4 linked regions of the Stegostoma tigrinum genome follow. The protein of the gene in region 1 interacts with the protein of each later gene in a pairwise test. Links are inferred from orthologs where the notes say so. Each region holds a gene or a part of one and is shown in the gene's direction. Other genes may lie near its edges.

What was found.
Region 2: the proteins of traf2 and NCK-interacting protein kinase (region 1) and gse1b interact in a two-hybrid assay, tested with the Homo sapiens proteins (2 studies listed by BioGRID and IntAct). The link is inferred for Stegostoma tigrinum from reciprocal best matches to the Homo sapiens genes TNIK and GSE1.
Region 3: the proteins of traf2 and NCK-interacting protein kinase (region 1) and dihydropyrimidinase-related protein 3-like interact in a two-hybrid assay, tested with the Homo sapiens proteins (2 studies listed by BioGRID and IntAct). The link is inferred for Stegostoma tigrinum from reciprocal best matches to the Homo sapiens genes TNIK and DPYSL3.
Region 4: the proteins of traf2 and NCK-interacting protein kinase (region 1) and protein KIBRA-like interact in a two-hybrid assay, tested with the Homo sapiens proteins (2 studies listed by BioGRID and IntAct). The link is inferred for Stegostoma tigrinum from reciprocal best matches to the Homo sapiens genes TNIK and WWC1.

Annotation. Positions count from the first base shown.
Region 1 is NC_081367.1:57,295,091-57,302,139, reverse strand, and holds the start of traf2 and NCK-interacting protein kinase, read left to right. Parts: upstream 1-4,036; 5' UTR 4,037-4,479; coding exon 4,480-4,536; intron 4,537-7,049. UniProt on the Homo sapiens protein: Serine/threonine kinase that acts as an essential activator of the Wnt signaling pathway. Recruited to promoters of Wnt target genes and required to activate their expression. May act by phosphorylating TCF4/TCF7L2.
Region 2 is NC_081369.1:53,029,733-53,037,415, reverse strand, and holds the start of gse1b (genetic suppressor element 1), read left to right. Parts: upstream 1-4,665; 5' UTR 4,666-4,750; coding exon 4,751-6,682; intron 6,683-7,683.
Region 3 is NC_081366.1:72,847,784-72,855,452, reverse strand, and holds the start of dihydropyrimidinase-related protein 3-like, read left to right. Parts: upstream 1-4,667; 5' UTR 4,668-5,058; coding exon 5,059-5,388; intron 5,389-7,669.
Region 4 is NC_081366.1:21,677,143-21,684,080, forward strand, and holds the start of protein KIBRA-like, read left to right. Parts: upstream 1-3,925; 5' UTR 3,926-4,057; coding exon 4,058-4,191; intron 4,192-6,938. UniProt on the Homo sapiens protein: Regulator of the Hippo signaling pathway, also known as the Salvador-Warts-Hippo (SWH) pathway.

The DNA of each region.
Region 1 (7,049 bases):
AAACTGGAGAGGCCTTCAAAATGGGATAATGAGAGTTCAGAGTCTGTATGTTCCTGTTAGTATGAAGGGCAAGGCTGGTATGTGCAGGCAAGATAACAAAGTGTGGAACTGGATGAACACAGCAGGCCAAGCAGTATCTCAGGAGCACAAAAGCTGACGTTTCGGGCCTAGACCCTTCATCAGAGATGGGGATGTGGAGAGGATTGTGAAATAAATTGGGAGAGAGGGGGAGGCGGACTGAAGATGGTTAGAGGAGAAGATAGGTGGAGAGGAGTGTATAGGTGGGGAGGGGATAGGTCAGTTTGGGGAGGACGGACAGGTCAAGGAGGGGGGGATGAAGTTAGTAGGTTGGAAATGGAGGTGCGGCTTGAGGTGGGAGGAGGGGATGGGTGTGAGGAAAAACAGGTTAGGGAGGTGGGGACGAGCTGGGCAGGTTTTGTGATGCAGTGGGGGAAGGGGAGATTTTGAAGCTTGTGAAGTCCACATTGATACCATTGGGCTGCAGGGTTCCCAAGCGGAATGTGAGTTGCTGTTCCTGCAACCTTCGGGTGGCATCATTGTGGCACTGCAGGAGGCCCAGGATAGACATGTCATCAATTCTGTTTGACTAGGCAATTTGAAGCTCCGGTCAAGAAAAAAGAGGCATGTTTAGATATAAGGTGGGATAAAACAAATCCCTAGTGGAGTATAAAGGCAGTAGGAGCATACTCAAGAGGGAAACCAGTGGGGCAAAAAGGGACATGAGATGGTTTTAGCAAGAAGAGTTGAGGAGAATCCAAAGATATTCTACAAATGCATTAAGGGCAAAAGAGTAACCAGGGAGACAATAGGGCCCCTTGAAGATCAACAAGACCATCTATGTGTGGAACCACAGGAGATGGGTGAGATACTAAAAGAGTATTTTGCATCAGGTTTTACTTTGGAGAAGATTATCAAACCTAGAGAACTTGCAGAAATATACAGTGATATCTTGAAAGGCGTCCATATTACAGAAGAGGAGGTGCTGGACATCGTAAAGCTCATAAAGATGGATAAAGTGCTTGGACATGATCATGTGCTTCCCAGAACCTCGTGGGAAGTATTGGAAGTGATTGCTGCGCCTTTGCCTAAGCTATTTGCATCACTGATAGCCACTGGTGAGGTGCTGAAAGACTGGAGGTTGGCTAACATAGCACCACTATTTAAGAAAGGTGGCAAAGAAATGCCATACAACTATAGATCAGTGAGCCTGACATCAGTGGTGGGTAAGTTGTTGGAAGAGATTGTGAGGGACAGGATTTACATGTATTTGGAAAGGCAAGGACTGATTAGGGATAGTCAAAATGACTTTGTGTGTGAGATGTCATGTCTCATTAACTAGGTTGAGCTTTTTTTTGAAGAAGCGACAAAGAAGATTGATGAAGGCAGAGCAGTGGATGTTGGCTATATGGAATTGAGAAAGGTGTTCAACAGGTCCTGCATGGCTGGCTGGTTAGTATGTTAAGATCACATGGAATCTGGGGGTGCTAGGCATTTGGATATAAAATTGGCTTGAAGGTAGAAGACAGAGAGAGGAGGACTGGAGGTCTGTGACCAATGGTGTGATATAAGGATCAGTGCTGGGTCACTAATTTTTGTTGTTTTTATAAATGATTTAGATGTAAATGTAGGAGGTATGGTCAGTAGGTTTGCAGATGATGCCAATATTGGTGGTGTAGTGGGTAGTGAAGAAGGTTATCTCAGAGTATGGGACCTTGACCAGATGGGGGGAGGAGTGGCAGATGGAATTAAATTTAGATGTGTGAGGTGTTGCATTTTGGTCAGGCAAATCAGAGCAGGACTTATACAGTTAATGGTAGGGTCCTGGACAGGGTTGCCGAACAAAGAGACCTTAGGTGCAGGCTCATAGTTCTTTGAAAGTGGAGTAACAGGTGGCCAGAGTAGTGAAGAAGGCGTTTGGTACACTTGCCCTTATTAGTCAGTGTATTGAGTTGGGATGTCATGTTGCAGCTGCACATGAAATTTGTTAGGAATACTACGTTCAATTCTTGTCTCCCTGCTACAGGAAAGATGTTGTTAAACTTGAAAGGGTTCAGAAAAGATTTTCAAAGCTGTTGTCAGGGTTAGAAGATTTCAGCTACAGGGAGAAGCTAAACAGACTGGGGCTATCTTCCCTACAGCGCAGGAAGCTGAACGGAGATTTTTTGGAGATTTATAAAATCATGAGGAGTCTGGATCAGCTGAATTGCTAAGGTCTTTTTCCTTGAGTGGGGTAGTCCAAAATTAGAGGGCATGGGTTTAAGGTGAGAGAGGAAAGATTTAAAAGGGACTTAGGCATTTACAGAGGCAAGTTCCAATGTAAATGCAGGCAAACAAATTTCTAACGGTACTGTATAAGAAAAGGATTGAATATGATTGACTATTGATGTTACACACTACAGGTTTATATTGCATCTGATCCAAAACTTCATATGACTATATACATGTTAATTAAAACATGCAACAATGTTTGCATTTTTAGTTTGGTTGAACATCCTAACATGCTTCACAAGAATGCCAAGGATTTCCTAAAATGCAAAAGCTTGATCAAAGATTAGGTTTTAAGGGGAAAATAAGTCCAGGAGAGAATTGCAGAGATTACAGCTTTTTAATAATTCATTCAAGGGATGAGGGTGTGGCAGGCTAGGCTGGCATTTATTGCCCATCTCAGAGGGCAGTTAAGGGCCAACCACATTGCTGTCATAATCATCAATCAACTCCTAATTCCAGAACTACTTTTTGTTGAATTCAAATTACATCCTCTACCAGGCAGGACTTGAACTTAGGTCCCCTGACCATTACCCGAGTCTCTGATTGACAGACCCCTAATAATACCACTAGTCCACTGTCTGCCCTATCCTGGGCACCTGAAAGCACAGCTGTCAATGGTAGAGCATAATCTACGGGGTTGTACAGAAAGCCAGGATTGGAGGAGGGCAGAGATAATTGTAATTAAGGATATTACTGGAATATGTTGGGTTGAGGCAATGGACAGATTTACCACAAGAATAAGCATTTGTAATTGAGATATTGCTAATGTAAATCAAGGCAATATAATTGTGAGCATTGTTACTTGGTGTGAATTAGATGTGGGCAGCTAAGTTATAGGTTTACTCTAACTTTTTTTTATCTTCTTAAACATCTCACATAATTCTTTCACAGGATGTGAGTGTCGTTGTCTGGATCAGCATTCATTACACATTTGAGAAGGTGGTATTGAGCCACATTCTGGCAGTCCATTTGGTGCGATGACAGCTAGAATGCAGTTGGGAAACAAGTTACAAGGTTTTGACCCTACCACTCTTAAGGAACAAGGAAATTGTTCCAATTCAGGATGAAGTATGCAACTTGCAGATGCCTAAGCTATTGAGGACACAGGGTTACATCTCATCATGATAACTAGTGAAAGTTAAATGTAATTTAAAAACACTGAACATAACACTAGACTCAGTAATGATACCACGGCAATGTTCATTGATTGTCATAAAATCCCATCTGGCTTATTAAAGTACTTTAGGGAAGGAAATCTGCCATCCTCACCAGATCTGCCCCACATGTAACTCCAGACTCATACCAATGTGGCTGACTCCTAACTGCTTCTTGGAACGGTCTGACCACTCATTTGTATCAAAACGCAAAGGCCGTGGTCTGAACATAGGAATCGGGAGCATAGCCGTCCCTCAGGCCACCCCAATTCCAATTCTGCCATTGAATAAGATTATGGCTCACCGCATTCTCAGCTTCACGTTTCCTGTCTGCCACTGATAACCTCACACGCCGCTCAAGCGCCGAAGGGAATTGCAAACCTGCTCGTGCAACCTACTCCCAGAATTTAACCCTCCCCTCGGCGACAGATGGGTGAAGTGTTTCAGGAACATGACATTTCAAGTGATAGTAGTGGTGGTTTGTGGTTGGGGTAGGGGTGTTGCACAAGATCCTCAGTACAGATTCTTTTAAGGAAGGAGGCTGCCATGCTTTCGTTACTGTGTCTTGCCTGCTTGTCCTCTCTCAGCGACAACGTGCTCTTGAAGATTGTTTGCAGTTGCTTGAAAGCGAAGCAGTTTCTCGCTGGTGAAGGATACGCGTGTTGCTGTTTGTCTCCTCCCCGGATGCTGTGATTGACAGATTCTGCAGAGCCCTGCTATGTGTGTGTGTGTGTGTGTGTGTGCTATATATTGTGTGGGCGCTTTGCAGAGAGCAGTTGTTCTGAACAGGACCCTTCACAGAATAGGACTGCAGTAATTTAACTCCCTGTCTCCTGTGGTGTAACCAGAAATTAGGACAAATTAAAACCGAACCCCCCCGCCGTTATTCTTTTCACATGTAAAAGACCTGTCTTATTGATTGTGTGTCATTGAGCGGAAGGATATGTTTTAAATCGTTACAAAAGCAGTGACGAGAGAGAGTGGGAGAGAGACAAGACTAAGCTCCGGGCTGTGTCAGTTTTCGGGTGAAATTAACATGGCGAGCGACTCTCCAGCGCGAAGCTTGGATGAAATCGACCTCTCGGCTCTGAGGGTGAGTAACCCAGATCAGAGCTCTCCTCGTGCCAGATTTTGCTTTCTTCCGGGAGATACATTGTTCCCTCTGTAGCACTGTCACAATCTCCAACACACCAATGTAGCAGTTGTGTGTCACAAAGATGTGCGATGTTACAATCTACATTTCCTGTCCTGTCTCAAAATTGTAGCAAATTGGCAGGAAGGATAAATAACACGTCTAAACCGAGTTGCTTGTGTTTATGTGTAACGTGTTAAGCTCATCATTCCATTAAGCTCACTGTACGCCAATGTCACAATGAATGGGGTGAAATGGAACCTGTTTAGATTTTTTTCATTCATCGACTACACCTCCTCCCCCCCCCACCCCCCGCGCCGTCCAACACCACCCTCCCTCATTCCCGCAGTGAATTGTTTCAATTTGAAGGCATTTGTTACCTTGTGTGTTTGTGGGCGCTCCCAAACCGAGACGATGTTTCATAACATGCGTTTGTAAAGCCTCCGGTTGGAGAGCTTCCTTCAATTTTCTCTGCAGAAAGTGAATTGTTGCTTATTTTCAAGCATTTCGCGAAATTGAGATTGCTGGTCAGAGACCAGGTACGGGGCAGCCTCAGCTTTTATAATAACATAGAGAGGAAAATAAAATACAACTGGATAAAGGAAGAGAAGCTTGGGCCAGGGGTATCGTGCTGTTTCATTCAGCCTACACAAAATGTGTTTGCTGTTAGGGAGGTGGTGGTCAAAGGGTCCTGAAGGGAAAGCTAGCGGATGAGAGATTCCACCTCTGTCTGGATCCCATGCACAAGACCCTGAATGGTTTAATGGCTACGGCAATAGGAGCTGTCATCAGCGACAGGCGTTCACTAACATAATGCTTCGAAGGGAAGGAATCGTTTGGATACCAAACAAAAAAATCACTACTGTTTGTGAGCCTAAAATAGCCTGTCGAAACTTGGGACATTTCAGTTTTGGCCATCTGGTCAGAAGAAGAGAGAGATTCGTGAACATTTTAAACGATCTGTAATGACCCTGATTATTGTGCATGGTAGCCCTGCATAGCGGTGTCTGGTTGAGAAAGACACGAGAAAAGACCGGGAAGAGATGGAGAGGGAGACTGCAAGGAAGGGAATGGGGTAGTTGGTGTTGGAGGGGGGGGGCGGTTAGAATTAGGATGGGGAAGAGTGTGGGAAGGGGAACTTGAGTGGGGAGGGAGCTGATCGTTGTGGAATTTGATAATGGTGATATTTCCATTGTTTAGTGTGCATGATTATCATAAACATCTGTTGTGGAGCCACTTCGGAGTGTAGTGTAGGGGCTTTGTTCCGAGGCACTGAAGGAGCTTTCTGGCTAATTATCTCTTGATTTGCTATAGCATGTCTGAACAATTCTGCTTTTGGCATTTTCAAAGATATTGTCGTGTCAGGGCGCATGTTGGTGGGGGAGGGGGGGGAAGAAATCGAGATTTCAGGTTCAGTGCCCTCTCTCCCAGTTTCTGTTTGTGTGGTTTATTGAGGCAAGTGAGAAAGCCAGTGCAAAAGAAGCACAGGTTAACCCAACAAAGCGCTACTTCCCTCCATTCACTACCAGTTTGGCAAACTGACAGCAGGAATTTGTGAAGTCTTTCAGCAGAGCTGTCACTCTCTGCCAAAAGGAGAGATCTTTGTTTTCATCTCTCTCCACCGTCTCGCCGCTCTGAAAGCTCAGTACAACCCTCCGAGATCGCTGCTGCCTTCCAATATTTGCCCCCTGAGGATTTTAATCTCACCATTAAGGAAACTTCTGTTTACAGCCTGAACTCTTAAGTTCTGGAATCCACTCCTGAAAGGGGGACTGGGAGACGAGAGCTGTAAGCCAATCATTAAGGCCAATGTCTTCGACCAAGCTTTAGGCCGTATGTCCCAACATCTCCCTATGCAGCTGAGTGCCACAATCTATTTAATGACAAGCACCGTGGAACATTTAAATACATGAAAGGTGCTATGTAAATGCACAAAGTTGTTGCCATCCCCCACCCGAGGGTTAGTATTTTGAGTTTAGCGGCTCAGGTATTCCGAATTGAGTTGGGTGGGGGAAATGGGCGTGTGTAAATGTGACTGGAACCACTTCCTCATATGGGGACGGAGGGAGCAATTGTCAACACCGCCAGGTCGGGCTGAACGGCCTCTGTCTGTGTCGTTGGTTGTGTTGTAGCGGTGTTAGGTGAAAACAGACTGCCCACACGTGAGTAAAGTAGGTTGGATAGCATTGGGGTGAGGCTGACTGTGGGGCCGGCCCGCGCTGATTTCCACAGCTTGCGAGTGTGATTGAAAGAAGCCAGTCGTCACTGAATGCTATCCGAGGTCTGATGTTGGCCCCTCTGGCTTGGAATGTGAATATTACATGGTCACTATCTTACATGGTTGGAGCTGCTGAGTTTGGTTCCAGCTTGTCTTGAGCGCATGAAAATGGAGCGGGAATCTCGATCTGTTTTGTCTGGGAGCGAGTTCGTGCCTGCCCTTCCAAATCAGTAAGGTGTTTTGCGTGGAAATTACA
Region 2 (7,683 bases), on another chromosome or scaffold:
TTATTTATCTGTGTTGGCAGCTTGGCCTTGTGTTGAATTCAGAATTTTCTGGTGAAAGCTTCATACCTGGAACCTGAGCATGTCATTTAGATTATCACTTTGTAATGGCACCAAGGAGGCGGGCGTGTTGCTTTTTAGGTTGATCTGTTCAATTCAAATGGGCATAAAACTGCCTCTTTCAAAACCAAAGCTACAGGATTAAGACTTGACAATTTTGTGAACATTTAATACCTTGTGTCACTTTTAAAAGGAACAGTAAAGATTCCCTATGTTGTCCTGGCTAACATTTGTACTCTTGCCAATATAGTCAAACCTGTACATCTAATCTCATTGCTGTTTGTAGAATATTATTATGGGAGCAAATCAGCTGTCAGGTTCCCTAAAAACATTACTACATGTCAGAAATAATCAATTCTGCCTTGCAGGTGTAGAAGGTGATATTTAAATGCAAGTTAAATCATCATTTATATGTAGGTCTGTTGTTGAAATGCAGGTTATCCAAAGTCCAGCTATTTTAGGGAACTTAGGTTGGATTAACTAATGAATACCTGACACTCAATTCTCAATGTTGTGCTTAATAAATCGCACGTCTGGGCACTGGAATAAACTAAGCAAGGAGCCCAGTCAAAAAGTGAAGGCTTGTTGGAGCTTTGTTTATACTGATAAAATTATTTGCATATCCAACAGGAAGGTAAGTGGAAAAGCATAATCAATTCAATTTTTCTGCTTAAATTGCATTTTGCAATCCACTCCACAATTTAACAATCAAAATGCATGGGTGGTGGGGAGGGAAATTTCTGAAGCAGCATCTGGGCACAGGGATTTCAATTTCAGGCAATTTTGTTGAAGATTTTCAGAGGGATAAGTGTTTTAATGCCAGTAGCGACACTTTCTTTAACCCAAAAACTCCTTGAACAGACATCCTGACTGCTCTGAAATGAACAGGAACAGAAATTGCTGGAGAAATACAGCAGGTCTGCATCTGTTGAGAGAAAACAGCTAATGTTTCAAATCCAGTGACCCTTCTTCCTAACTAATAGCAGCTGTGTAAAGGAGAAGAGTGGGGGTTGGTGAGGAAAGGGGTGAGTGGATAGGTGGAGCCAGAGCCCAGAGAAAGAAAGAAAAGGGAAAGCAGACAAAGAGATTGTTGGTAGTAAATCAGGAAAGAAGAAAAGGTAGCCTTGGAACACTTGCTAATTTTTCTTAATTTTATTTTCATTATCATTTTTGGTTTGGACTGTGAACTGTCTGCTGAGAGCTGAAAGTGATCATTGGACTGTGAGCAGCAGTGTGTATTTCCAAAAAAAACTAAATGTTATTTCTTTGTGAGGCCAGATCTGAAAGTTAATTGCAGGTTGTTTCTTGTTGCAAGATATTTTGACTCTGGTGAAACCTTTAGCTTAACCAGATAGCAGATGTTAGGCCACTAATGAGGTCAGTATCTGGGAACTGGTGCCAACAAGTCTGGGAGAGAACATGATGATGAAACAGAGGGAGGTACTAGAGTTTTTTTGTGAACTGTGTTGAACTGGGGATTTCTGAGACAGGCAGTTTGGCTTTTGACACTGTTGCATGAAGATTTGAAAGCTCCCCGCCTAAACTCCCGTTATCAACTATCAGCAGTTCAGAGAATAGAAACAAAGATATTAGTGTTATTGAAACTTACTTAGCATGAGCTGGAAAAGGTGGCAATGAGCTCCATCAAAAAACAAATTGAGACAAACCTGTGTACCTGGGAAGCAAAGCAAACTGCTGAAATCATCTGGCCAGTTTTATTATTTTTCCTTTCCTTTTGATTTATTCTTTCTTTATGTTCTGAGGAAAGGTCACAAGACCAGAAACGTTAACTCTAATTTCTCTTCACAGGTGCTGCCAGACCTCCTGAGCTTTTCAAGCAACTTTTGTTTTTGTTTCTGATTTACATCTTTTGGTTTTCCTTAATTATGTTTGTTTTTACTGTTTTTTTGTGTGAATGGAGCTGAAAACAAAAGTTATTGGGTATAAATCATAGATATTAATTAGGTTATCTTACTGTTTCACTTTGCTCTGCTAAAGCTACTGTATTATTAAGAAGTTATTGTATATTTTGTTTAAGCTACAAACAGGGCGTCTTGTATTGATTATTGACTAAGTCTGGTTCAGGTTATTTAGTTAGGGACCACTGCGATCGATTTTGAGGGTCATTTTAATTTACCATGTTGCAAATACACAGTTAGGAATGCTGATCTGATTTGGTTGCCTGTCTCCATGACATAATACAAGGTAGCTCATAATGGAGTCTAGTTGAAATGTGTTGGCAATGGGATGGGGTAGTGAATGAGATGTTCATGCTCTGAGACTATCCAACTCAATATTGAGTCCTGAAGGCTGCAGGCTCCCCAAGCCGAAAATGGAATGCTGTTTTTTCCAGCATGGGCTGACTGTCACTGAAGCGCTGCAGCAAGCCCAAGACAGAGACGTGGGTCAGGGAACACAGTGATGTGTTGAAGTGGCAGGCAACCAGAAGCTCAGGGGCATTTTTACCGATAGAACATAGGTGTTCTGCAATGTGGTCACCCAGTCTTTGTTTTGTGTTCCTAGTGTAGAGGAGACCACATTGTGAGCGGCGAATACAGTAGACTAGATTGAGTGAAGTACAAGTAAATCACTGCTTCACTTGGAAGATGTGCCTGGGGCTTCGGATAGTGAGGTGGGAGGGGGTAAATGGTCAGATGTTACACCTTCAGAGATTATAGGGAGGTGTTGGGAGTGGAGGAGGAGTGGACCAGGGTGTCCCAGATGGAACAATCCTTGTGGAAAGCCAACAACAGAAGGAGGGGAATATGTATTGGGTGGTGGCATCTCACTGGAGGGTGGTGCAAATGGGAGTTTATAATCATTTGGATGTGGATGCTGGTGGGTGGAAAATGAGGAGAAGGAGAACCCTATTGTTGTTGTGGGAGAGAAGAGGGCAGAAGTGTGGGAAATGGGTTAGACATGGCTATCATAACAAAGTGTGGAGCTGGATGAAGACAGGAGTACAAAAGCTGGTGTTTCAGGCCTAGACCCTTCATGAAAAAAGGTCTAAGGCTCTGTTGGCTCTGCCGAGTATAACCAGTCTATATATGTTTATATATTGTATCTTTACGGAGGATGAGGAGTGAAAAGGATGCAGGTTATCAAGTAATCTGAAGGTAAACAACAGTGTGATGCTTATGGGTGAGTTTGAGGTGGCAGGGCTGAAAGTTTAACTCAAAGGAGCAATGGGGACTTTCTGGATTCTTTATGAGTTAGTGGCCAATCACATGTGGATGTTATTGAGGGGAAGTGAGAAATATATCATTGTTTTCATTTAAGGTGCTGTCAAGTGAAATGGAAAGTTGTTAGAGTGCAGAAGAAGGCCACTCGATCCATCATGTCTGCATAGCCCAGATCATGGATACAGTGAAAAACTGACGAAAAGTCACCGGGCCAGAAATGTTAACTGTGCTTTCAGCCCACAGATGCTGTCAGACCTGCTGAGTTTATCCAGCAATTACACTTTTTTTGTAATAAAAAAGTTGGAAGTGCAGGTGCTGGAGCACTGTACTGAGGCGAACTTGTAGAAGTTTATAAAATCATAAGGGGCATGGATAGAGTGAATAGCCAAGGCCTTTTTCCCTGGGATGGGGGAGTCCAAAACTAGAGGGCATAGGTTTAACGTGAGAAGGGAAAGATTTAAAAAGGTCCTAAGGGGCAACTTTTTCACACAGAGGGTGGTGCATGTATGGATTCAGCTGCCAGAGGAAGTGGTGGAAGCTGGTACAACGACAACATTTAAAAGGCATCTGGATGGGTATATGAACAGGAAGGGTTTAGAGAGGGTCTAGGCCTGAAACATCACCTTTTGTGCTCCTGAAATGCTGCTTGGCCTGCTGTGTTCATCCAGCTTCACACTTTGTTATCTCGGGTTTAGAGAGGTATGGGCCAAAAGCTGGCAAATAGGACTAAATTTATTTAGGATATCCAGTTGGCATAGATGGGTTGGACCGAAGGGTCTGTTTCCTTGCTGTACATCTCTATGACTAAGTTGCACCAGTGTACATCACTTGGAGCAAAAACAAAGTTGCTGGAAAAGCTCAGCAGGTCTGGCAGCATCTGTGAAGGGGAAAAAAAAGTTAACATTTTGGGTCCGGCTACACTTCCTCAGAACATCATTTGGTGGTTTTACTGCTTTACCTTTTGGGTGAGAATTTTAATGGAGTGCCTTGCGGTGCCCAGCCCCGTGTAACCCTGCACATTGTTTCTACTGAGATAATGATCAAAAACCTTCTTGAATGTTCTCCATTGAACCTGACTGCAGGGCACAGACGTGGTTGCATCTTCTTGGGAAGAATGATAGCAAGGCTCCTGGCTATACTCTGTGTGTGTGTGTGTGTGTGTGTGTGTGTGTTCCCCTGGGGGTGTGGATGTGTGAAGTTTGAAGTAAGTGTGGGGTCTGGAAGTTTTTGTGTGTGTGTGTGTGTGTGTGTGAGTAAGTGAGTAGGAGTTGCATTGTGGGGCCGTGAAGATGGCTCGCTAGGAGATGGCGCTGTCTAGCTGCCTGGAGCTGGGCAAAGTTTAGTAGCAGATTGTGTGAGGGGGACAGCACAGTCAGTCAGACAGACAGACACACACAGCTCTGAGTCCGCCTTGAAGCTGAGTGCAGAGTGGGCTGTGGGTGGTGGTGTTTAAAGGGGGGGGGGGGGGGGGGATTTACAGACACCTCCAGCTTTCCCTCCCCCCAGCGCGAATGATGAGTGACAAAGAAGCGGCTGCTCCGCGCTCCAGGAAACACCGGCTGATGGCAGCTTTCGAGTCCGGGGAGGAGAGCCCCGGCGCCGGCTCGGCGAACGGCACCGCCCGCTTGCACTGCTTCATCTGCGGCGGTTGTATGAGCCCCGGGCGGGAGCAGCGGCTCCAAGTGCGGGCAGGGGGCTGCCGAGGCTCGCCTTATTTCCCGTTCCTGCTGCAGCAGGAGCCAGCTCCCGGAGCCCGGGGGGTAAGCGCTGAGGGCTGGGTACAGGTCTGCTCCGTCTGCCGCTGCTTCCTGGGCGAGCAGTGGGAATCCTTCGAGAGGACCCGCACCCCGGTCGACAAGCGCATGTACTGGCTCAAGAGACCGCACCAGTGCGACAGCCGCACCGTGCCCCAGGAGTGGAACCCCAGCTACGAGCCCGAAGCCTGCAGCGTGGGGCACGGCAGCAAGGAGGCGCTCGACTCCTCTGTCTCCTCCTTGTCTGACCAGGACCTGACTGACCAGGAGCTGGAGACCCCCGCTCCCACTCACCGCCGGGGCTCTTCCCTCGCCCCTTCCCCCCGGGCCGGCCGACCCCTCTCGCCGACCGCCGACCACCGCTCTCCACCGAGCGAGACCCCGGCCCGCCGGGCACCCCCGGGCGCGGGAGACTCCTCCGGGGACGAGTCCCACCCGCCTGGACCCCGGGAGCGAGGGGGCGGGGTGGTCGCCAAGGGTGGGGGCCCGGCCTGCTTCGTGTGTGGTGCCGGCCTGCCCCCGGACGCTGGGCACCAGGTCCACGTCCACAAGCAGGAGGGCGGGCCCTGCCGGAGGCCCTTCTTCCCCTTCCTGTGGCTCCACCGACCCCCGCCCGGGGCTTGCCCCCTGAGCCCCGGGGGCAGCACCCTGGTGTGCACATTCTGCCACGCATCGCTCATGCAGCAGTGGAGGGGCTTTGAGATGGCCAACGTGCCCGTACTGCAGAGGCTGTACATGGTGCCCTTGAACACCGGAGTCCTGGGCACGGCACTGACGAGCCCCCCGGGTGAGAGGGAGCCCAGTGGCGGTAGGGAGACCCCAGGCCAGGAGTGCTACCTGTGCGGCCAGGACTGTAGCAGAGACGCCAAGGCTGTGCGTTCGAGGAGCATCGACAATGGTGGTGGTGGTGGCAGTGCTCGGGACGGCCCCATGTACTTTCCGTTCATTCGCCTCCTGCCCCGTCCCCCGAACGGCCCGGAGATGAGTGAGTGCGGGGAGGTCCGATGCTGTGACGATTGCTATGCGGTGTTGAAGGACACATGGGGGGCCTACACCGCTACTGGACGGGAGGAGCTGATCTCGTCCGCCCAGGCCTTCCTCACGCGGTACCTGCGGATGAGCGGCGCCGCCGGTGGCCCTCGCCCGAACCCGGCGACCGGGCAGGTGTTCAGGGCGGCCCGGGTCACGGTCTGCCTATTGTGTGGCGCGGAGCTGGAGCCGGGCCGCGAGTTCCAGTTGAACGTCGACCCCCCTGGCCGCCACAGCCAGCGTGAGCCCTTCTTTCCGTTCCTGGCAAGCCGCCCGCGCACGGCCACCGTCCGGCCTGTAGATTCGACCAGCCCAGCGTCAGCCTGCGTCCTGTGTTACCATGACCTCCTAGAGCAGTGGTGGAGGGGGAAGAACACTCAGCATCCCAGCAGCCCCTGGTCCCGGCAGTACAAAGTGGACACCTTTGTCTGCTTCTTCTGCAGGCAGGAGAGAAAGCGTCACCTCGGCCTGAAAGCCATCACGGTAAACCGACTCCCTGTCTTCCTACATACCCCTCGAGTGGCCGAGACTCTCGTGGTGGATGATGGTGAGCAGCTGATAGTTGGGGCGTGTGAGGATTGCAGGGCTATGGTACTGGCTGGAGGCACCTTCAAACAAGGAACCCGCACGGATTCGTTATCACCACCCAGTCACGTGAAGGTAAACCGTTTACTTCTCTTTCAGTGTGATGGCCTTGTCCATTTAAATCTGATTCGCACTGTCCACTCTGCAGTTCACTTGTCCTTTTACGCTCGTTTACAGTGTGCGTCCTTAGATCTAGGTGCCATATTTCATGATTTCCAAAATCAGTCTTGACTTGTCACAGGTAATGTTTTCATGACATTTGTGGGAATGTTTGGTTAAATGACACACGTTGGAATGAGTTCTTGAGAACTCTGTGCCCAGCTAAAACTCACAAAGGTCAAACCCAGCATTGTAACGGGGTGTATCCATCACACACAACCAGATCAGAGGTGTGTGCCCGCTTGATATAAGACAGCTGATTGTCCTGAAGTAGAACTGGAGGCTAGTGATGTTATCTGATGCTTTGTTGCTTTGACACGACAGACTTCATTTTTTTTTTGTCATTCATTCAGGGGAATGACAAATTACGCTCAATTTTCGCCCCGTTTTCCTCTAATGTTTAAGACTAAGAAAGGGAATTTTAAACGAACAAATCGATTTTGTGAAAGGTATTTTGCAAGTTGCCAACGTGTCATGCAAGGAGTTAAGCGTAGAGTTTATTTCCCCAGGCATCGTTTTATCAAGATGCTTGTCCCAAGTGAGCATGTGCTTCCTTATAGAAAGTTGGTTATCACTTAAGGTCTTTAGATCTAATGTTGTTCGCATAACGCTCAGATAAGTAATCTGCGCATTTCAGGCAAACTGATCCTTATTAAAATAATTTGACAATGGTTGTTACCTGACTGATGGGACAAATGCTAAGTTGGTGCTGATTTGTCACACACCTTTGTGCCCTCACTGCGGGGAGCAGGTGTTCATGTTTTGGCGCTTGCAGGGGAATGCCCCTGTCTACCTCAGTCTTCAAGCGGCAGTGCGTGTTGTGTTGTGGAAGCAGCTGTGCATCATTTTGACTTGAGACTGCAACAGTCCAAGTTATTACTGGGACAGCAACAATGGTGGGACAGGTGAAAATTTCA
Region 3 (7,669 bases), on another chromosome or scaffold:
CTGGAGTTTGGAGCTGGCTGCTACAATTGATGGACACAGTTATTTTTCTCTCTGCTGTGGCATTTAAAAAGCTTCAGTTCTCTTTCTGTTGCTAGATTATTTCTTTTGGTGCACCTTTCTCCTGGGGCTGGAGTGGAGATAGCACATAAGGAAAACCTATTTTGCTGAAGTTGTCTTTGCCAAGGGTGTGTTTATGGGATGCTGCAATATTGGAACGTTATTTTGTTAAGTGGCTCAAAAGACTTAAAGTTATGTCAATTTTTTTTGTTTATATTTTAACTGTGTAACTATTTAACTGTTGTAAGAATAAAATGTGCTGCTTAAAGCCTAATGGTGGGCTAATTGAATTACATCAGGAATGCACACTTGCCTTTAAATAAAATGAACAAAGTTCATGCCAAGGCTATCTCCTTGATATATTGCAAGGGTGTTTTGGTTTTGTCCATTATACAAAGCAACACTTAATTTCCAAAACCGTAGTTCAGTACATTGCAATTAAAGTAGTATTCAAAGGGCTCAGCACTATGAAACCTGTTCCTCTTCTATGTATACCAAACAGCAAATATAAACATTGAAGTCCACAGATACTATGCCTAGCCTCACAGATACTCTGGCTAATTTGCTAAGCGCCAGCATTGCCATAATGTAGTTAGTGAGAATTGACTTCAAGCAGTGGGTGAATCACAGAAATGAAGGAGAAAATCATGATGATGGATGAAGAACAGGTGCCTTTCAACTATTGAAGCATTGTTATTCATGCAGAGTATCGGGGGTCCTGGCCTCACAGGGCTGGCATATTAGATGAGATTTCTGTTGTGGTTGGTTGGCTCGCAGATCTGGTTTGTTGATTTGCAGATGTTTCACTACCCTGCTAGGTAACATCATCAGTACAGCGTCCAATGAACTTCATCAAAGACTGCATTGTGATGTTACCCAGCAGGGTAATGAAACGTCTGTGGAACAATGAACCAGCTCAGCAAACCAACCAACCACAACATCCACAACGAGAGCTACAAATCTACTCTAAAATGAGATTTCTGCCGGAGTACATATTTAGAATCATTTCTAAAGCTCAAAAGACATTGAAAGGGATCTCATAAGGAATTTGGACATGTTTACAGTGCAGCAATGGCAAAATGCAAACTCCAGAATCACCTGCAGAAGAATCCTCAATGTTGTGGGCTCTAAATACAAAGGAAGTCCTTCATATTTGCATGGTACTTGCTGCTACAACAGAACTGGGAGCACACTTACCAACCATCTTGTCTACTGGACATGCAGGAGATTGCATTGGCAGAACTACAAGGCATGGCCTTAAATTAACAGCTAAGGATTTGCAATCTCATAAAGATCACAGTCCAATTTAAGATAATTCCCTGCTAGAATAGGAGCAAGGAATACTTGGGGGAAAACGAATAGCAGAAGCAATATTGTTTTCCTTAGAGCAGGGAAAACTAATAGGAGATTGAGCGAAGCTACCATAAATTATTGCCAGTTTACAGTGAATAGGAAGGAACTATTTCCATGAGCAAGTGGAGCAGTAAACAAAGGCTTAAAATAACTGACAAAAGGCTAGAAGAGAAATGAGGAGAACGTTTTCGCGCAACAACTTATTGTCATCTGGAACAAAATGTCTGAAAGTTCAGGAGTAGCTTTCAAAAGGCAATTGGGCAATTATTTGAAAAGAAAAAAAAAGTAAGGCCGTGGAAAAAGGCAGGAGAGTAGACCTCACTGAGAAGCACTTCTGGTATGCTGTGCTGCTTGGCAACGTGATGACTCTTTTAAGATATGAGCCAGCCCTTACTGTAGTGTCAGTGGCAAGGTTGGCCACAAAGCATTTAATACTGGCTTATTGAGGCCAAAGCAGCTGTCAGTGATTGTTTTTAATTTCAAATGGATTATTTTTCATTTAATGTCCATTGCATCTGAAAGAATTAGTGGGTTTTAAAGATGTGTTCCACTTATGATGTATTCAGCAATTTCCAAACCATACATAGAAGCTTGAACGTATGGCTATGAGCAGCGATGTTGTTTCTGATTGAAACAAACAGAGACAATATTGGAGAAACTGAACAGGTCTGGCAACATCTGCAAAGAGAAATGGAGAACTTCACTTTAGGAGTTCTGAAAACATTAACTTTGTTCTCTGTGGAGACAGAAGTTCTCTATCTTTCTCCAAAGACACTACCAGACCTGCTAAATTTCTCCAGCACTTGTTTCAGCTTTCCAACATCACAGTATTTTAGTTTCCAACAGAGTTCTTTATTGGATACTGATTTTGGACTTAGCGGAGGTGAAATTACTTGCATAGGCCTGAAAGCGATGGTTAGACCAAGGTGTTAATATGACAAAACACTTATTAAACCTTTTGGTCCAATTTTTCCATGCTGACCAGGTATCCTAAACTGCACTAGTCCTATTTTCCTACATTTGGCACATATCCCTCTAATCTTCTCCTATTCATGTACAGCCATAGAGTCATGGAGATTTGCAGCATGGAATCAGACCCAGTATTTGGTCCATATCCCTCTAAACTCTTCCTCTTTGCATACCCATCCAGGTACCTTTTAAATGTTGTTTTTGTACCAGCCTCCACCACTTCCTCTGGCAGCTCATTCCATACACACACCACCCTCTGTGTGAAAAAGTTGCCCCTTGGGTCCCTTTTAAATTTTCCCCCTCTCACCTTAAACCTATGCCCTCTATTTTTTGGACTCCCCTACCCTAGGGAAAAGATCTTGACTATTCACGCTACCAATGCCCCTCATGATTTTACAAAACTCTGTCAGGTCACCCCTCAGCCTCCGACACTCCAAGGAAATAACTCCTTACTATTCAGCCTCTTCCTATAGCTCAAACACTCCAAACCTGGCCACATCGTTGTAAGATAGCAAGTTGCAGAATTGGATGAGCACAGCAAGCCAGGTAGCATCAGAGGAGCAGGAAGGCTAACGTTTCGGGTCTGGACCGTTCTTCAGAAATCACTGTAAATCTTTCTCTGAACCCTTTCAGGTTTGAGAACATTATTCCCGTAGCAGGGAGAAGGATTAAAAAGCAGTATTCCAAAAGTAACTGAAACAATGCCCAGTACAGCTGCGACATGTACTTGTCCAAATGTATTTTAAATGGAAGTCATGACCATACCAACTGGTCTTGTTCCTGGTTGAGTAAACAATGCAAGAGTCCAAGCGTTATGACCAAACCAAATGATACTCCGTTCCTGTTTCCAATGCAGAATGAGGGAGTAAACGGCAGTGCAGAAGGGAGGCAGATTTGGCAGGGTCTGTGTGTGTGTGGGTGGGGGGGGGGGGTGCAGGCTGGTAGTCAGGATCTTGGTAGCAGTGGGCTTTGCGTTTCCTCACATTTGCGCTGGGGGTGGCGTGCCTCGGCGAACGAGGCGCTGCAGGGAGGGTGCTGAAAGGACAGTTCCCTTATTGCTGCATCCGAACGCTCGACCCGCCCCGGAGACAGCCCGGGGAAACGGCAGTGGCGTCTGTGCCCGGTTCCCCCGGTCGCTGCCCAGGCCCCCGAGCAAAAATGCGGGGTGAGTCCTGGGATCTTACCGTGCTCCGGTTGCTCTGACTTACACTGGCTCTACAAGTGGGGCAATAACAACGGGATGGGACTCAAGGGACGTAGCCTTCCTATTTTCCGGTTGAAGACCATTGGTAAAAGAAAGGGCTCGCTTCCATTGTTTAAAATAACACCTTTTTTTGTTTTAGAAAGTAAGAATTTTAAATTAAAATCGATGCCTATATTGAAGATAATCTCACTGTTTTGAGGACCTCACTGCAGTTTCAATTGAAAAAAATGACCAAATGACTGTCAACAAGTGCAGTTACATTTTTTTTGGGAACTCTTAATCTTCGAGATTCCGGGGCGCACTCTGATTTTAAACAATATTCACGAGGAAGTTAATCTGGGAACTCTTCAGCTTGTTCTTGATTCAGGTCTTCTTAAGCTTTCAAGGCAGAGGTACAGAATCATGCAGGTATGTCCTGGTGTGGGACAATCGTTCTCTGCCACAGTAAACACCTCCCTCAGTTGTCCCACTTCACCCCCACCTACCCGCCAGCTCCCTGTCGTAGCCACACAGTTCATCCATTATCAGCATTCCCTCCAAACAGTGTCTGCTTTCCACCTATATATTCAGACGCCATTCAGACACGCACATATCACGATTAACCGAGATTGCAACCGAGGAAGAGAGAGATAGAGACTTGCAGAACGACACAGAGAGGGAGAGGCTGTTAGAAAGACACACACGCCGAGACAGAGGGAAAGATAGAGGCTGTGAAGTCGACAGAGAAAGAGATACAGAGGCTGTTAGAACGACAGAAAGAGAGAGAGGCTGCTAGAACGACAAGCGCAGACAGAGGAACCTGCATTGTCTTGTTTGAGTCAGCAAGTTCACTCAAAAAGTCAATTGGATTGTCAAGCCTGCTCCCAGAAGACAGGATCGCGGGGCGGGGGGCGGGGGGGAACTCAGACAATCTGTTCCGTTTCTCCTGACCCCTTTAAGGAATGGGTAGTGCTAAATTGCGTACATTTGTGAGCTTTGAGGGCGTCTCTTAAAAAAAGAGAATAAATAAAACGTAACCTTTGAGAAATGTGCTTGTAGTGAGCTGTGATTTCAGGGCTCTCTCTCTCTGCGCTCTCTCCACTCACTCCCATATCCCACCCTCCACTGTCACAAAAAAGAGCCCCTGGAGATTGTCCTCACTCGAACTGATGGAGCGGCGCCTGTGAATTACCACAAGCAAATGAGAGAGAGAGAGAGAAATACAACACGGTGGAGCTAACTGCACTTTAAAATCCACTCAGTCTGTGGCTCACGCCTCCTTATCACTTCCGTGTCAGGGGATTTCAGAAGCAGTCTGCCACTCGCAGGCTCAGTTTTTCTGACTCCCCCATTTCAGTCTTTCTGATCTGCCTCTCCTCCTAAAACCTCCTCCAGCACCCACCAGCCCCCTCTCCTCTCACCCACCCCCAGCAGGGAAACAAAACCAAGCTTTTGTAGCCCCTTCCACCTTTGCTTGGAGCCCAGGCAGATTCCCAATGGCTGAGGGTAGGAGGATCTGGGATAAGGAGGATGACTTGCCGGTTTATCTGGCCCGGCCGGGCACGGCAGCTCAGATCCCCCGGCAGAAATACGGGGGCATGTTCTGCTCGGTGGAAGGAGCGTACGAGAGCAAGACTTTGGATTTCGACGCACTGAGCGTTGGCCGCCGGAGTTCCCGGAGCACCAGCGGCGCCAGTAAAACTCAGGGGTCCCGGGACAACGCCGAGGCTTCCGGCGACACAGTCAGAGACAGCCCGCTGGCGACCGGGGTACAAATCACCACGGCGAACGGCAAGGAGAGGCTGCAGAACCGGGATGACCCACAGGTAAAATGAAACAACTTCCATTCCGTCTCCTCGCATTTCCTACGCGCATTTCACTGCGAGTTAGAATTGCAAACTTGCAAAACTTTTCATTTCTGAGGAATGACATTTCATCTGTGAGGTTTTGTGCATTTTTTAAAAAACGAAAATATGTTACATTTCGATTCAACAAAACTGTTCATTTCAGCTGTGCAAAAAAAACATATTGTGGTACAAAATATCTTTCTGCTATTGTTGAAGTTCATTTGTGTTGGCGTGGATTTTTTTTGTTTGCTTTGTTTTTGAATTAATGGCCAGATGGGGCATATTTGTCAACAATAGCCTTGTCAGGTGGGTTAATATACTCAGTCTAGCCCAGTTGGCGTCTCTTTTAACCGGACCATTGCGGATCAGAGCAGGCGAGAGATGTCCTGTTCAAGGGAGCATCTAAGTTCAAGTGACTGCAGACAGGATTGCATTGAGCTGTAACATCAGGCAGAGCTTCAGTGGCAAGTCCCCTGGGAAGGAAGAGGTGCACAGAAAGGGGGGGCTCGGTTAAAAGCAAAGCAACAAACCCTCAGCACTACCACCCCCCCTCCCCCCACACACACAATTTGATTGTCTTACTCAATCTGGCATGGGGTTCGCCTTGCCGCATTTGGCTAGCCCTGTGTTACTAAAGGGCTGCAGTGCAGCACGTTATAATGGCCCATTCTGCAGTCTTGGAGGGTCTGTTTGGGAGATTTCTACAAGAGCATAAATAGAAGATGCTGTTTACTGGGGGAGGGGTGCTAGGGGGTGAGTGTGGTTGATCCTCTATCTCTATTACACACAAACACACACTCGTTCCCCCACCTTTCGTGTCTCTGAGCAGTGGGCGCGGTGCTCAGTAACGAGGCAGGCGGCTCCTCCGCCCCAGCTGGGTGCCTGGTTTGGGGTTGCTTTCTGTTTTTTTTTGAAAGGGGAGAGGTTGGTGGGGGCTGACAGGTGAGACGGTGGGAGATAGGGAAAGGAGGTAGAGCCACGCTGTGGCTACAGACTAGAATTGCACTGCGGTAGTTGCATGCGGTCTTTTCCTCTCGGTTAACCCTCCTGGAACAGGGCGGTGGTGGGGGGGGTGGTGTTGGTGAGGGGATTACTGCCGCATGCCTGACTTCGACTGCAGACCCTAGAACACAACCTGCTGTGGACAGAACTCCCCACCCCCCAAACTCTCCATGCAGAAAGAACAAAATCCAGCAAGAATTTGTCTTGACATGTAGTGCCTCTGGGGCTGCCTGTTTATTATCAGGATTGCTTGGCACTCCAATGTTCTGTTTTAAACATTTGCTGTACTGGTGAAACCAAATTGGTTTAAACTGCAGCCAAATCCTGTCACTCTGGAGGAGACTGTCTGCCTGTGTCTGGCCTCTGGGAGATTTGGGATTGCACTACACATCAACAGGTCAGGCTCTGAGGTGCAGCTCAACCGGTCACTTCCGGTTATACAGGGCACCAGTTATGTTCAGCCAGTTCAGACATTCTGAATTCAGCTGGGTCTTGCATCCAAGCCTCCTGGCCCGGGATAGGGGCACTGTCACTGTGCCAAAAGAAACGCAAACAAGAGTCAAGAACTATTGTGTTTTGAAGCAGGGTCACTGGACTGGAAACTTTAACTCGTGCTTTCTGTCCAGAGATATTGAAGGACCTGCTGAGTTTCTCCAGTAATTTATGGTTTATTTTGTTTCTGATTTCCAGCATCCGCTGTTTTTCTTGTTTAAGGTCAAGCAATGGTTGATTCACATTGTTAAGTGTGGAAGGGATGTATCTTGTTTTTCATCCAGCCAGTGTTGGTTTTGAATGTGCCTGTCTCTGAATTCCTGAGGAATAAATTGGGCACCCTTTTTATTCCCTAAATGAAAAACAAATGAAGGTTTCTTTTGACTTTCCAGTTGCTTGTTTTCTTTTTATGTGCAGCAATGAAATTGTTCATTTACAAAGCAGTTTCAGCATGCTAAATCCCTGGTGTACCAAGATGAAAATTAATGCTCCAGGCATGGTTCAGAGACTCAGGTTTGGAGAAGTCTTTTGAAGATCACACATAATCTAACCGAATGACAGAACAAGTTTTATTTATTTTGTTTATTGTTATATGTTTTTTGTTACAAAATGCAGGAGAAAAAGTGTTATACAGTGTCTTTGCTTTCCGTTGCCATGTTAAAACACAGAAAGGTAAGCCAAAGCTAGAATATAAAGGCAGAAAAATGAAGAAATTAAGAAAATGCCTTCAGCTTTGTAGTCTTTCTTGTTAAGTGTTCCATCATGG
Region 4 (6,938 bases), on another chromosome or scaffold:
GGCTTGAAATGGACATCAGTTACAAGCTGGTTGCCTGAGATGGAGACTGAGAGGTCCAAGAAGGTGAGGGATGTGCTGGAGATGGCCCAGGTGAACTGAAGGTTGGGGTGGAAGGTGTTGGTGAAGTGGATGAACTGTTTGAGCTCCTCTGGGGAGCAAGAGGCGGCGCCGATACAGTCATCAATGTACCGGAGGAAGAGGTGGGGTTTGGGGCCTGTGTAGGTGCGGAAGAGGGACTGTTCCATGTAACCTACAAAGAGGCAGGCATAGCTGGGGTCTGTAGGAAGTGGGAGGAGTCAAAAGAGAAGTTGTTGAGGGTGAGGACGAGTTCAGCTAGGCGGATGAGTGTGTCGGTGGAGGGGGACTGATCGGGCCTGCGGGATAGGAAGAAGCGGAGGGCCTTGAGGCCATCTGCATGCGGAATGCAGGTGTATAGGGACTGGCCGTCCATGGTGAATATCAAGTGTTGGGGGCCAGGGAATTGGAAGTCCTGGAGGAGGTGGAGGGCGTGGGTGGTGTCACGGACGTAGGTAGGGAGTTCCTGGACCAAAGGGGAGAAAATGGAGTCCAGATAGGTGGAGATGAGTTTGGTGGGGCAGGAGCAGGCTGAGACGATGGGTCGACCAGGGCAGGCAGGTTTGTGGATTTTGGGAAGGAGATAGAAACGGGCCGTGCGGGGTTGGGGAACAATGAGGTTGGAGGCTGTGGGTGGGAGGTCCCCTGAGGTGATGAGGTCGTGAATGGTGTTGGAGATGATGGTTTGGTGCTCGGGTGTGGGGTCATGATCGAGGGGGCGGTAGGAGGTGGTGTCGGAGAGTTGGTGTCTGGCCTCGGCGATGTAGAGGTCAGTGCGCCATACTACCACTGCACCACCCTTATCTGCGGGTTTGATGGTGAGGTTGGGGTTGGAGCGGAGGGCTGCCCGTTCTGCGGGGGAGAGGTTGGAGTGGGTGAGAGGGGTGGAGAGGTTGAGGCGGTTAATGTCTCGACGGCAGTTGGAGATGAAGCAGCTATGCCTGCCTCTTTGTAGGTTACGTGGAACAGTTCCTCTTCCGCACCTACACAGGTCCCAAACCCCACCTCTTCCTCCGGTACATTGATGACTGTATCGGCGCCGCCTCTTGCTCCCCAGAGGAGCTCGAACAGTTCATCCACTTCACCAACACCTTCCACCCCAACCTTCAGTTCACCTGGGCCATCTCCAGCACATCCCTCACCTTATTGGACATCTCAGTCTCCATCTCAGGCAACCAGCTTGTAACTGATGTCCATTTCAAGCCCACCAACTCCACAGCTACCTAGAATACACCTCCTCCCACCCACCCTCCTGCAAAAATTCCATCCCCTGTTCCCAATTCCTCCGCCTCCGCCGCATCTGCTCCCACGATAAGACATTCCACTCCCGCACATCCCAGATGTCCAAGTTCTTTAAGGACCGCAACTTTCCCCCCCCAGTGATCGAGAACGCCCTTGACCGGGTCTCCCGCATTTCCCGCAACACATCCCTCACACCCCGCCCCCGCCACAACCGCCCTAAGAGGATCCCCCTCGTTCTCACACACCACCCCACCAACCTCCGATTACAACGCATCATCCTCCGACACGTTCGCCATTTACAATCCGACCCCACCACCCAAGACATTTTTCCATCCCCACCCCTGTCTGCTTTCCGGAGAGACCACTCTCTCCGTGACTCCCTTGTTCGCTCCACACTGCCCTCCAACCCCACCACACCCGGCACCTTCCCCTGCAACCGCAGGAAATGCTACACTTGCCCCCACACCTCCTCCCTCACCCCTATCCCAGGCCCCAAGATGACATTCCACATTAAGCAGAGGTTCACCTGCACATCTACCAATGTGGTATACTGCATCCATTGTACCCGGTGCGGCTTCCTCTACATTGGGGAAACCAAGCGGAGGCTTGGAGACCGCTTTGCAGAACACCTCCGCTCAGTTCGCAACAAACAACTGCACCTCCCAGTCGCAAACCATTTCCACTCCCCCTCCCATTCTCTAGATGACATGTCCATCATGGGCCTCCTGCACTGCCACAATGATGCCACCCGAAGGTTGCAGGAACAGCAACTCATATTCCGCCTGGGAACCCTGCAGCCTAATGGTATCAATGTGGACTTCACCAGTTTCAAAATCTCCCCTTCCCCTACTGCATCCCTAAACCAGCCCAGTTCGTCCCCTCCCCCCACTGCACCACACAACCAGCCCAGCTCTTCCCCCCCCCCACCCACTGCACCACACAACCAGCCCAGCTCTTTCCCCCCCCACCCACTGCACCCCAAAACCAGTCCAACCTGTCTCTGCCTCCCTAACCTGTTCTTCCTCTCACCCATCCCTTCCTCCCACCCCAAGCCACAGCCCCATCTACCTACTAACCTCATCCCACCTCCTTGACCTGTCCGTCTTCCCTGGACTGACCTATCCCCTCCCTACCTCCCCACCTATACTCTCTCCACCTATCTTCTTTACTCTCCCCACCTATCTTCTTTACTCTCCATCTTCGGTCCGCCTCCCCCTCTCTCCCTATTTATTCCAGTTCCCTCTCCGATGAAGGGTCTAGGCCCGAAACGTCAGCTTTTGTGCTCCTGAGATGCTGCTTGGCCTGCTGTGTTCATCCAGCCTCACATTTTATTATCCACGTATAATAACCGGGATGGCCTCCATTTGCAGTGCAAGATTGTATATACTTCCCCATAAAAACAAAACGTAGCACAAGGTTCCAAAGCACTTTACAACCAATTATGTACTGGTAAAGTTTAGTCACTGCTGTAATGTAGGAGAGACCGCAGACAATTTAACTGCCATTTCCCTGTGTTCAAGCTCCTATAAGCAACAACTTGACATGAAATAACAAACCGTTTCAGAGTGGAGGCAAAATATTGTGTATGCTGGAAAACTAAACCGAACATATTGCTGAAAAAAAACACAGCAGGTCTGGCAGCCGTGGAGTGAGAAACAGTACACACTTTAAAGAACATAGAACAGTACAGCACAGAACAGGCCCTTCAGCCCACAATGTTGTGCCGACCACATTCTGAAAAAGTCATACCGGGTTCGAAATGTTAACTCTTGTTTTTCGCTCTCCAAATTATGTTAGATCTGCTGAGTTTCTCCAGCATTGTGTGTTTGCATATCTGCCTTTGTGGCGTTTATCGAGGGATATCAGGGCTTCTCAAACTGGGATGTTTTAGCTCCACGAGGGGGAAAAACACAGGGCATCTGTTTAAACCTAATGCGAAATATGGCACGTCCAGGAGTCTCATTGTCCTCACTGCTGCACCGAAATGACACTTGAAACCAAGTCCTTGTAGAATGAGGGGTAAGCATTACACCAAGTGAGACAGAACTAGCACCAGATTACAAGCACAGCAAAACATTATTCAATTCCAACACATCCATCCTTTAACTCAATTTTTGAAGGTGGGGGAGGCGGTGTGGTGGACAAATGGGGTGAGTAGATTCGAGGAAGGGGACAATATGTTTAAGCACATTACGATCTACTCCAGCGCTTCTTTTAGTGTAATTACGGCAGAAAGGTACCTGACTGACAACCTGGATGACGTCATGCAGTAAGCAGAGAGTATTTGGAAGCAGTGTCGCTCAGCCGCGGGGAAAAAAATCCCAGAACAGGGCAGCGGTTCAGCAGCAGGGGCACAACGAGAAGGAAACTTTTACTCTCGAGGCAGGAGTAGGGGCAGACCGGGGGAGTTTGCAAACCCGAAAGAGACGAAGGGGACATCGAAAAGACGGTGACGTTTTGGGTGGTCGTGCGCGCGTTTCGGTTGGGAGCGCGAGCAGAGTCCAAACGGCCGCTCGAGCTTCTCCCTCCGCTCAGCTCAAATAAACATGGAGGCGTGAGGAGGACGGGGGCTCGGGGGGGGGGGGGGGGGGGGTAAAAATAACATTTGTTTATCACAAACTCGGAGAGAGAATGTTTCAAGGCGAAGTGCCGCCGGCTCGGAGCAGCGACTCGGCGTTTCTCCTTCATCGTTTTACTTTCCCATGGAGGAGCTGGAGTTTCTAACAACCTGCCGCTCGCTATGCCCAAGCCCAGCAAGGGCAATGGAGAACTGCCCCTGCCACCCGGTTGGGAAGAGGCGACCGACTACGATGGGAAGTTGTACTACATTGACCACAACACCAAGCAGACGAGCTGGGTCGATCCCCGCGACAGGTGGGTAGGCCCCGGTTAGCAACCCAAACACAGCTCCACTTGCCAAATAAGGTGCAGCCGTTTGGAGCACTGCGCGTGCGTTTTATATATAAAATATTAACAAGCGAGTTTCTTGTACTGCGCATGTCTGATTTTGGGAGCTGTGGACGTAATAAACCAGGACCTGTAATGCGCAGGCGTGACATTCCAAGATACTTTACCCCATTCCTTTCTGCAGGATCCCGAGGTCATTCCAGTTTCCAGTTTGTATGCTTTCTTCTGCAGACTTGCTTGCCCGCCGAAGGGGAAAAAAATTAAAACTTAAATAAAATCATCAAAATTGCCGGCTCTTAAATTTGACACATTGCAGGCAATTCTTATGAAACACTGGAAAAATTTTAGGCTCCACAGTTGTCTCTTTTTCGAATGAAAGACACAGAACCTATATTTGACATTATGATGGGGAAGCAATTGTATTAGGAATATTATTTAGCATTAGGAGACTATTAATTCAGAGACCCAGATAATGTTCTACAGACTGAATCTGGCCACAGCAACTTGGAGAATTTGAATTCACTAAAAGCCTGGAATTAAGAGTCCGATGACATCATTGTCGATTGTCAAGAAAACCTGATCTAATTCATTAATGTCATTTTAGGTAGGTTGAGGGTCAGATAATGTTGAAGAAAGGCGGATGCTGCAGAAGACCAGAAGGATGGACATGGCAAAGATGTTTCCACTATAGGTGAGACTAGGATTGAAGGGCCCAGCCTCAGTGAATGGATGACCCTTTAGAGATAAGATGAGGAGGCATTTCTTCAGCAAAAGAGTGGTGAACCTGGGGATCTCATTGCTGCAGAGGGAGTGGAGGCCAAATTATTGCGTTTATTCGAGATAGAGATAGGTTCTTGATGGTAAGGGTTTCAAGGGTAATGGGAAGAAGGCAGGAGCTTGGGGTTGACAAACATAACAGCAATGATTGAATGGCAAGGCAGACTCAATGGGCTGAATGGCCTAATTCTTATCCTATGTTTTATTGTATTTGGGAAGGAAACTGCTCCTGTTATTGTCTGGCCTACATGTGACTCCAGACTCATAGTAATGTCGTTGACTCATGGCCAGTTTAGAATGGGCAATAATTACTGGTTAGCCAACAATGCCCACATCCATGAATTTTTAAAGAGCCATTCACCCATTATTAAACATGGGCAGACCTTGGGCCACGTGGTGATATAGAAGTAGTAGATTAAAAACCACAGCTTTCACTTATACACTTCTGACAGTGGAGCAGATAGAATGCACCATTTATAAGATTAATTCGAGGCTTTGCAATTTTCTCAAATTCTTATAAAAATCAACAAAGATCTCACCTCTAAGACTGCTAAACTTTAAGTTGCCAATTGAATTTTAAAATCAGATCAGCGTGCTCAAATAATTTGTAACTTTTGAAATTTAGCTAAACATTCATATTGACATCATAGCCCTTGAGGAGATGTCAACAAAGAACTCATTTTGGAACTGCATGCATCCTGGCTACATTTATGTTTATTGATCTGAGGAAGATGGCCTGTCAATCAAAGCAGTATAGTAGTGGGTTTTTTCAATGACAATTGTTGCTCATTTTGAAAATAGTAATGGAACATAGAGCAGTACAACATAGTACAGGCTCTCCTGTCCACGATGTTGTGCCGATCTATTATCCTACTAAGATCAATTTTCCCTGCATACCCAACATTTTACTAGGCTCCATGCGCCTATCCAAGAGTCGCTTAAGTCTCTAAAGTATCTGGCTCCACTACCACTGCTGGCTGCGCATTCAGCACACCCACCACTCTGTGTGCAGGACCTACCTCTGATATCTCCCCTGCACCTTCCTCCAATCACCTTAAAATTATGCCCCCTCAAAATAGTCATTTCCGCCCTGGGAAAGTGTCTCTGACTATCCAGTCACCTCTCATCCTTCTTCGCCAGAATGAAAAGCTCCCTCGACCTTTCCTTATAACACCTGCCCTCCGGTCAAGGCAGCATCCTGGTATATCTCCTCTGCACCCTCTCTAAAGCTTCCACACCTTTGCTATAATGAGTTGACCAGAACTGACCACAACATTCCAAATGTGAGCTAACCGGAGTTTTATAGAACTGCAGCATAACCTCATGGTAAGGTAATTCCCCTGCCAATGAAAGCCAACACCAAAAGCCTCAACTCACTCAACTTGGGTAGCAACTTTATGGGATCTCTGGACAGGGAATCTCTACCTTCAAGAATGGAAAATTGCAAAGATTAACCAACATGTCCTCATCACACCAGGTGCAAATTTTTTTTATTTCTCATCTCTGTCCTAAACAGTCAACCCCTTATCCTAACACCATGGGCTGATCCCTCTGTTCCTCCTCACTGCTGAGAATCCTGCCATTAACTCTGTATTCTGCATTCAAATTCAACCTTCTAAAATGAATCACTTCACACTTTTCTGGATCGAGTTCCATCTCCCACTTCTTTGTCCAGCTCTGCATCCTGTCAGTGTCCCATTGCAACCTACAGCAGCCATCCACCCTGTCCATAACTCCACCAGCTTTCGTGTCATCGGTAAACTTACTATCCCACCCTTCTACTTCATCATCCAAGACATTTATAAAGATCACAAATGGCAAAGGTTCCAGAACAGATCCCTGCAGAATACCACTGGTTACCAAGCTCCAGGCTGAATACTTTCCATCTACTACCACCCTCTGTCTTCTGTTGGACAGCCAGTTTTATATCGAGATAG